Sus scrofa: one gene and its partner. The protein of the gene in region 1 interacts with the protein of each later gene in a biochemical or structural test. Links are inferred from orthologs where the notes say so. Each region holds a gene or a part of one and is shown in the gene's direction. Other genes may lie near its edges.

Region 1 (4,539 bases):
ACAAGTAACAAACCCGACTAGCATTCCTGAGGACTCAGGTTCAATCCCTGGGCTTGCTCAGTGGGTTAAGGATCCAGCGCTGCTGTGAGCTGTGGTGTAGGTCGAAGATGTGGCTTGGATCCTGCATTGCTGTGGCTGTGGTGTAGGCCGGCAGCTGTAACTTCGATGTGGGTTCGTTAACCGTTGAGCCATGAAGGGAACTCCAGCCTGTGACCTACTGTGACCTGCAGAGAACAGCTTGGGGACACCAGAACTAGTCTGAGGCATGTCTGGCCGGCTCCCTGGTCTGCTCTGTGACTACAAACATGAGCCTGGAGGACTTGTCATTCGCTACCCTGAAGGCAGAGAGGACCAGATGATCAGCGTGCACATCTTCTAGATGAATCCGCCTTTGAGCTCTCTGAAGGGAACTGGGCCTTTGCATGGTAAATGTCACCATTTGCCAGTCCATGACCAGCTGAGTCTCACAAAGTTGCCCCGTGACCAAACACACTTTAAATGAGTTGGTTCATGAATCCAAGTTTAAATCACTTTGTGAAAAGAACCATCTGACAGTAACAGTTTATTTTGAAATTATCCATTGTTTTTTCCCCTCACTTTGATATTTTCACTTATAGAATGCTCATAAATAGAAGCACTCCATTTTTGTGGTAAGCAAATTCATTAAATTCCTATGAGCAATTCCAATTGGGATGAGTTAAGTCTGGAGTCGGGCTGTGGTCAGACCTATGACAGCGTAAGTTCTCTGACATGCAGAGAAGAATGCATTGGACAAAGTGAAACTTAAAATCTCATCTTTTCCTGTATTCCAATGATTTATTTTTTAAAGTTATTTCAAAAAATGGGGGGTGGGAGGTGGAATCATAGCCTTTTAGACCCACAAAGGAGTTTCAAATCCTCTAGTCCAAACTCCTTCATAGATGAGGTTGGTGAAGCTTGAAAAGTGTAGGTAACGGGACCAAGTAGCTTGTCTGAGGAGAAGCTGGGCTGGAACTCTGCTCTGACTCTGTCCAGTGTTCTCTTAAACTCTTCTCTCCTCATTTGAAACATTCCAGTGTCATTTTACTTTACAAAGGAGTTACTTTCTTCATCACTCACCATAGGGCAGAACTTGCCTCACTTGCTTTTCTTTTTGTGTAAGCAAGGGTAAGGGAAGGTGCACTCTCTACTTCTTGGTTCTCCTGCTCTCGATAGTTGTCCACCAGGCTGTCCTCCTCCTTCCCTCTGCCTGGAGCTTGCACTCCCCCTCCCTTGCAAACACTGTTATCTTTGGAAATATGTGTGTGCACGGCCCAACCTGGCCGTGGGATTTGAAGCAAGGTGACTCTTGGTTGAGTGGTGTTTCCATAGTCCTTGAATTTGCCCAAGGGCTTGGAAGGCTGGACAACTAACAAAAAATAAACTGCCATCCTTTGCCCTTTCAGTAGGTCTGTGTTCCATTAACACAGAATGGACAGAATTAAGAATAAGGAAGAAAAAAAGGCAGAAACAGGTACTTCACTTGAAGTACTTGCCTACCCCCCAGAAAAGTTCAAGGCTCTTGTTCATTATCTGAATTTTCCGCTTGTGATTCGCTTGTAGTCCTTAACTCATCTTCAGATTAAGGAAGCATCAGAGGAGAATAAAAAGTTGGGTATTTGCCTTGAAGTCAGTGTCCCGGCTCATATACAATCGGTGAATGTGATTTCTTTCCTCTAGTGCTGGGTGATCAGAGTGGGAGCCTTTTCCAGTGCAGAAAGCCTTCTGGCTGCCGCAGCTCCTGCGCCCTTTCACACTGCCCATTCCTCAGAAGACACTGTGAGGGGCAGGCCTGTTTTCTCCAACCTAGCACTTCCCCTTAGAGCCCCTTAGTACCCAGGAGGGCCTTGTTTTTAATCAGAGGTTGAAATGGAACCTCCCCCAGGGCGTACGGAGAGAGTCCCTTTGGGGCAGCGCCCCCCCTTCCGCAGGGCCGCATCCTGGTGGGGGTGGGGGCTCAGCCTTGATCCCAGGGCACCTCTAGTCCCTGGAGACGTCCAGCCAACCAGGTACGTGGAGGGGAAACGCTGTCCGCTGTCGATGGCGGCATATGTGGGTTTGGGGAGCAGGACTGTGGGGTTGGAGAGCGGCGGGGCGTGGGAGCTAGGCAACACCGGTGGGCACAGCCAACTCACTAACTGGGCGTCTCCGGGGAAGTTCGGGCGGGGTTTGCTGGCTCATGGGCTTTCTTCCTCTAAAATCCATCCTGGGCAGAGCAACCCCGCTTCTCACCCAAACTCGTGGAGACCAGGGATTAGGCGGACGCCGGGCTCTGGGAGGCGGGTCGGGGAAGCAACCAGCTCAGGCGGCGAGGGCCCTCCCACGCCGGTCCGCGACCCAGGGTGCCGGCCCACCCGCCTCGACTGGGGCCAGTTCCGCGGGGCGGGGGCCGACCTTACGAAAACGGCGGCGGGGGCTCTGGGACTCCGGCCCGGGCCGGTCCGACTCCCCTCGCGTCGCAGCCACTCTGGCTGGAGCGCTTGCCTGCCCGCCCTCAGCCGCCCGGCGAGGCAGCGGCCTCCTCTGCCGGCGCGGGGTCCCCTGGTTAACCCCTGCCCGCCAACCCGGCCGCTGATTGGAGGAGGCGGGGCGCCGGGGCAGCGGGGACCCCCCCCACCTTCCTCTTCCCCTCCCCCTCCTCCCCCACTGTCGGCGCTTCCCCCACCCCCCCAGGACCCCCCCGCCTCCCAGCCGTGCAAATCTCGCGAGGAAACACGCGGTTTCACTAGTGTGTTTACACCGATCACTACTAATCCGGACCGAACCGATCCGGATTAAGGGGCCGGAGGCGGGTCTTGGGCACCAGCGGTTCCGACCCCCCCGCCCTCCACGCCGCACCCGAGTGGCCCCTAGTCGAGCGGGCCCCCACCTCCCGACCGGGCCTGGGCTCTTCTGCGCCTCCCTTGGCCTTTGTCCGGCGCCAGGAGGCCGGTCCCGCGCCCCCCGCGGCCTCCCGGGCCCGGGCCCGCGTCGGGCGCCTGGCTCTGTACGCGAGCCCGGGGATCTGCGGCCTCCGAGGCCCCCCTCCCCCGCCCGCCCTCTCGTGGAGCCCGGCGCCGGCGGCGGCTGCCCGGGCGGGGGGTTGCGGCGCTCAGGAGAGGCCCCGGCTCCGCCCCGGGCCTGCCCAGGGGGAGTGCAGAGCGGTCCGCAGCCGGGTCGGGTCGGGGCCCCTCCCGGGAGGAGCGTGGAGCGGCGGCGGCGGCGGCGGCAGGTGAGAGGCTGAGCCCCGGGCGGGGGAGGGCGCCAGGCCTGAGGCATTAACCGTCCGGGCGACCCCCTCGGCTGAGGAGGTTGCGGCCCAGGCCCACCCGAGGGCCGGCGCCGGGCCGCAGCTTCTCGGCGCGGAGGCGGGAGGGGCTTCCCGAGGGCTGCGGGTCGCCGAGGGGCCGGGCCGAAGATGGGGGAGGCCCAAGCGGCCCCGGCCTGGGAGTGGGGCCGGCGGCCGGCGGGAAGAGGGGGGCGCCCCGGCAGCTGGAGGCCCCGGCAGCCTCCCGGGCGCCCCCGAGAGCTGGCCCGCCCTCCCTCCGTGACAGGTGGGCCTGGAGTTGGGGAAAGTTTGGAACCGGCGGGAGGCGAGGGGCGCCGGGACCAGGCCCCATCGGCCCTGCTTCTCGGCTGTGGGCTGCAGGGAGGATTCCAGTCCAAGGCCCCGCTGGAATGAGACAGTGTGGATCTTTCCTTAACATGAGTTGACATTAAATGGAATAACCGCTGGGGCGTCATTTTCCGGGCCAGGCCTGGGGATGGAGGTTTAGGAAATGTGCCGAGAGACCCTGGGGCTTGAGGGAGGCTTCAACCTCTGCCATTCCGGCCTCGATTAGGGCAGGGCGAGACTCGGAAGGCCACTTAGGGGAAACACTTTGAATCTCCTTTTTTTCTTTCCTTTTTCTTTTTGTTTTTCTTTTTAAAGATGCCTTTTTACCCTTCCGAAAATTTCCTTATTCTCTCTCTAATCTGCACTTGTTTGTGTGGGTGAAACTTTAATTTGCTACCCTTTTCATTCCCCTTTGCCCCAGGCTCTCAATCCAGGAAGGGAAATGAAACTGGAGGACTTTGTAGGGGTTGTTACTGGAAATTGTGGAGTTGTTAGATTGCAGAGGAGAATGTTGAATTCATGTTTTCAGGGAACTTTTCTATCATGCCAGTCATTCCAGTAGCTAATGATATGTTCGGAGGGGTTCTATGTAATGGTATATGCTCCTTTTCCACTTTTAACATTAGAAAGGTTTCCAATGGGTTCCGCAGGAGTTGATCTCTTGCAAACGATGGAGGTATTTGCTGAGAGTTAGCCTGTGCATTAATTGGTCATGGAAGGAGTTTAAAAATGGTGTCCTTCTGCCCCTCCCTGCTTGGAAGGAGTGCTAAAAGCAGATGTCTAGAGAAACCTACTGCTCCAGGGAGTGGCACATTTTGTAAAGGGATGGTTATGAAGCTACACTAATTTCCTGAGTGAATGCAGGTTATGGTTTTACCATGGGATCTCTATTAAATTTGGAATAATTAATTCCCTTTTTCATGAGC
Region 2 (4,503 bases), on another chromosome or scaffold:
TCCGGCATTGCCGTGAGCTGTGGTGTAGGTTGCAGACACGGCTCAGATCCTGCGTTGCTGTGGCTCTGGCGTAGGCCGGTGGCTACAGCTCCGATTAGACCCCTAGCCTGGGAACCTCCATATACCGCGGGAGTGGCCCAAGAAATAGCAAAAAAAAAAGACAAAAAAAAAAAATACAATTAAAAAAATAAATAAAACCGACATGAGATCTAACTCATGGGAAACTTTTAAGCTTGCTGGGAACAGCGTGGGCATATGAGTCTACAATACAGCTGTAAATTTTATGAAATCTAAGCTAATTTTCAGTGAAAATGTAGCGTCCAGATCACAGACGTGTTGTTAAGTAAAATAAAGGATTTCAACAGCTTCGTGCTGAGTAACAAAATGTAAGCTACCTGTGTTGTATTTTTTAATACTGAACATATGCTGAAAAGGTGTTTCAGCTAAATTTTAATATATTTAAGAGTATGTTAAAATTAACTTTTTAAACTTTTTTAAAAAACGTGGTTAACTTCAGAAAAGTGTAAAACTAGGTGCGCTGTCACAGGTGGAAGCAGGGAGTGAGTGCGGATGTCCCTACAGTCTTCCAGACAGGGGGCGACGGCGCTCCAGCCCCAGTGTGGGAGTAAAGTTTCTAGATGTATTATGCAGTCATAAATCCTGCCAGTAAATTTTCATGACCCTGTTCAACGCGCGGGGAAGGGTGGCCTCGAGAGGTAAGTGGAAGAGGCCGGACTCGAACTCTCATTTACAGCGTGTCTACCTGAAACCTCCCCAGAGGCTCTCGAAGGGGAAAAAGCCGGATTCGAACCAAGCCCGACTCCCGCGACCCAGGCCCCCGTGAGCCCCGTTACTGTCACACCGTCTCCCTTCAGGGATGGGTTAAACGTTCACAACGTTCACAACGGACTCCCGGGCCGCTGGGCCTGAAGGGCCAGGAGACCCATAGAGAAACTTCCGGCAACGCTCACCTGCTGAGACTCCAGAGCCGCAAACGCTCTTCCTTTCTCTTCTTACACCCCGCTCAACAGCGCCGGCAGTCGACTTCCGCTCCACTCCTACGAATCCCCCACCGAGTCTTATTTCCTCCCGCCCCCCAAGGTCAACTCAGCCAATAAACTCTCAGAGAATCGGCTTTATTCCCGCCCCACCCCTGCCTGCCAATCACCGCAGGTCAAGCACCGCCCTTCCCGCACTTTAAGAGGGGATTTGGCGAGCGCCGCGCGCCACCAATTGACGGTTGGCGGCGCTGCCCGCGGCTGGAAGCACCTCCCGGAAGGGCGGGGCTAAGTCCGGACAGCGCTAGTGCGGGGACCCTCGGGATTGGCCAAGAAGAGCCCTGCGTTTTGACCCCGCCCACCCCGCCCTTGACATTCGAGTCGGAGACTCTAGGGATTGGTTCCCGGCGGACTCCCAAAGAAGCCAAGAGACTGTCCCGCCTCCCTCCCGCATCCAGAAGAGGGAGCTCCACCGATTGGTCTCGGGAGTCTCGGCGCTTGCCTACCGACGCTCCAGGATTGGCTGGGGGGGCGCTCGCGCCGCCAGGGAGCGTTGACGGTGATTGGCTGGAGGGTGGGGCCGGCTATTTGAAGGAGGCGCGCGAAGAAGATTAGCTCTTCAGACCGCGATCGGAGGAGGCGCGAGCAGTTTTGGGTAACGCTGTTCTGCTGACCTGACAAGACCCAAACGTAGTCTTGGCCCCAGCTCTGGCTTCAGCCTCGGCCCGACGAGGCAATGGCTAAGGTGTCGGTGCTGAACGTGGCTGTTCTGGAGAATCCGAGCCCTTTCCACAGCCCCTTCCGGTTCGAGATCAGCTTCGAGTGCAATGAGGCCCTGACGGACGGTGAGACTGGGCCTGCGTGGAGCGACCCCCCTCCCCTGGGCCGCCCCGACCCTCCCCTTGGAGACAACCCTGTGAAACACCCCCTCTCCCCCAAATCTGATTTCCCGTAAACCAACACCCACCCCCAGCCTTAACCTCCCCTTTGGGAAACTACCCCTTCACCGTACCCCTATGGTTACTCGCGTTTTCCCCCGTGAAAACCTCATTATCCCCCTCTTTTTCCTGTAGCTCTCCTCTTGGGTACCCGTTTTCTAGGTAGAGACCGTCAGCCACCCTGACTTTCCTGTAGCAAGAGACTGCCCCTACCTACCTACTATTTAGGGGCAAGCCGCCATTCCAGCCATTCAGTCCTCCCCACCAAAAGGCTGTCCCCTGTGGTGAGGCACTCCCATCTCACTTTTTTCCTATGGAAACCCCAACCTCCAGCCCCCTCGAATTTCTCCTATGGAAATCCAAGCCCCCTCCCAATTTCCCTATGGAAACCTCAGCACCCTCCCATTTTCCTTATGGAAACCCCAGCTCCCGCCCCTTTCCTATATGGCAACTTCAGCCCCCTGTTCCATTTTCCCAATGAAGACCCTCTCCCCCTGTGACAAGACCTCACTCACCCCCATCTTCCCATCTGTCTTCCCATAATCTCCTCCCTGCTTGCTGATGCTCTACCTGGGGAAGCATGGCCAAACAAGCATAAGTTGGTTCTTACCATTTGCCTGCCAGATTCCTGCTGACTTACTGTAGCAATTCTCCCCCACTTTTGATGGTCTGACCTAATCTGGAGGGTGGGTATGCCAGGCTGAGCCATGAAGGTATCTGGCTTCAATCAGCTCAGAGGTCACAACCTTTTGTGCATCTTTTTCAAGGCGCTTTTATAGATGTACTTATTCATCTGTGTGACAAAGGTGGACATGACTCTCATCTCACAGATGAGAGCATGGGATCCACAAAGAGTAAAACACCTTTTTTGTACTTCTATAAAAATCAAAAAAAAATCTAAGGTCATTCAGAGAGTTTTGGCACCACTTTCGGGAGAAAGTACTCCATTAGACCTCTTCTCCACTTAGTGGTTAAGAGGCAGCGGCTAAGGAGGTGGAGATCTGTGAGGCCAGGGTGTGCTAACTAGCACCTCTCAGTGGTAGGTGTGTGCTTTGCATGCAAATTAGCCACTTGGTCTAGCCTGGAGTTGATAACCCTTTTGATATATGTGTGTGTGTGTGCTTAGACTGGGCCAATGGATCAATCTTCCCTGTTTCTCTCCTTTCTAAATTAAGGAATCTACTTGTGACTATAGTATAAGCCCAGTTAAATCCTTTCTGGAACAAGACAGTGTAAATAAATAAAGTGAAGAATCACCCTGTGGAATAAGATTTCATTTTAAAGCTAGGAGGAGATGTAAGGAGCTAATAGGTTAAGGGATTCACAGAGCCAGATGGCAGAAGATTGAGTTTCAGTATGTCTGTTTGTGATCCTCGGGGTTAAACATGGTTGCATGGTCATTATCTAGTACATTTACTCCTACAAAGTTCCTCTCCTGTTACTTTACTAATCTGTTACTAGAATCAGCACAGGAAAGGCTAAAGTCAACCTGCTGATCATTATCTTTCTTTTTTTTTTTTCTTTTTTAGGACTGCACCCACAGCATATGAAGGTTCCTAAGCTATGGGTCAAATTGGAGCTACAGCTGCCGGCCTACACCACAGCCACAGCAACGATGGATCCAAGCCTCATCTGCGACCTACACCACAGCTCACGGCAACGCCAGATCCTTAACCCACTGAGCTCAGCCAGGGATCAAACCAGCAACCTCATGGTTACTAGTCAGCTTCATTAACCACTGAGCCACACTGGGATCCCCGGTCATTATCTTTTAATAGAGAGAAATGGAATGATTTCTCCAAGGTCACATAGCCAGTTTGTAGAATTATTGACACTAGGTCTTGTCTCTGAGTTCTTTGTCCAAAGTTCTTTATCTTTCTGTAACCAGGGAAAGGCCTCTCCTGTGGAATGTAAATAGGACTGACCATAGATTTTATTTCCACATGAAAACACTGTCAAAAGAGGGAAAGGTGGTGCTATTATTAATTATACCTGGACAGTGAAGCTTTTGCTCAGAGAAATTCCAGTTAGAAAACCTGGAAATGTAGAGTCTTTTGTTGTACCTCTAGGGCTATCCTTGACTCTGACCTGCCAACTTGCTTTCTGCCTCTTCCCACAGAGCAGAGAGAATTTGTTTCCTGCCTCCCAAACAGATGGAGTGGGTCTGGCTTTAGAATTCTCTCAGATCCTGGAGAAATCTCAGTCTTGTTTCCTAGTGACTTCAGATACTGGTAACTGAAGATTTGAACACTCAGCCCCCAGTCTGACCCATTTCTCAAGGGCTCTGAACCTCTTTTGCTCTCTCTTCTTCTTAGCATCTGGAAATAGATGTTTGCAAATCATGAGTCCACATTCAATACATTAGATGTGTTTTTCCCCTATTTAATTGAGAAATTCAACGGATGCTGCTTGAATAAGTCTTAGAGCCAGATGTTCTGACCCACACTTAACATGCTATAGACAAGCCAAGGTTCATATGTATGATTATAAATAAAGGGAAAATGATAAACAGAAAAAGCCCTATTGGTTAAGTTGGTTTTGTTTTTTAATTTTTGGCTTCACCCATG

Evidence for each region.
Region 2: of the proteins of TLK2 (region 1) and ASF1B, one has a biochemical effect on the other in vitro, tested with the Homo sapiens proteins (3 studies listed by BioGRID). The link is inferred for Sus scrofa from reciprocal best matches to the Homo sapiens genes TLK2 and ASF1B.

What each region holds. Positions count from the first base shown.
Region 1 is NC_010454.4:16,253,756-16,258,294, reverse strand, and holds the start of TLK2 (serine/threonine-protein kinase tousled-like 2), read left to right. Parts: upstream 1-1,652; 5' UTR 1,653-2,027; exon of another isoform or gene 2,028-2,319; coding exon of another isoform or gene 2,320-3,276; intron 3,277-3,448; exon of another isoform or gene 3,449-3,551; intron 3,552-4,539. Other genes in the region: uncharacterized protein LOC110256160, read right to left, coding at 2,320-3,276. UniProt on the Homo sapiens protein: Serine/threonine-protein kinase involved in the process of chromatin assembly and probably also DNA replication, transcription, repair, and chromosome segregation. Phosphorylates the chromatin assembly factors ASF1A and ASF1B.
Region 2 is NC_010444.4:65,061,543-65,066,045, forward strand, and holds the start of ASF1B (histone chaperone ASF1B), read left to right. Parts: upstream 1-1,643; 5' UTR 1,644-1,734; coding exon 1,735-1,843; intron 1,844-4,503. UniProt on the Homo sapiens protein: Histone chaperone that facilitates histone deposition and histone exchange and removal during nucleosome assembly and disassembly. Cooperates with chromatin assembly factor 1 (CAF-1) to promote replication-dependent chromatin assembly.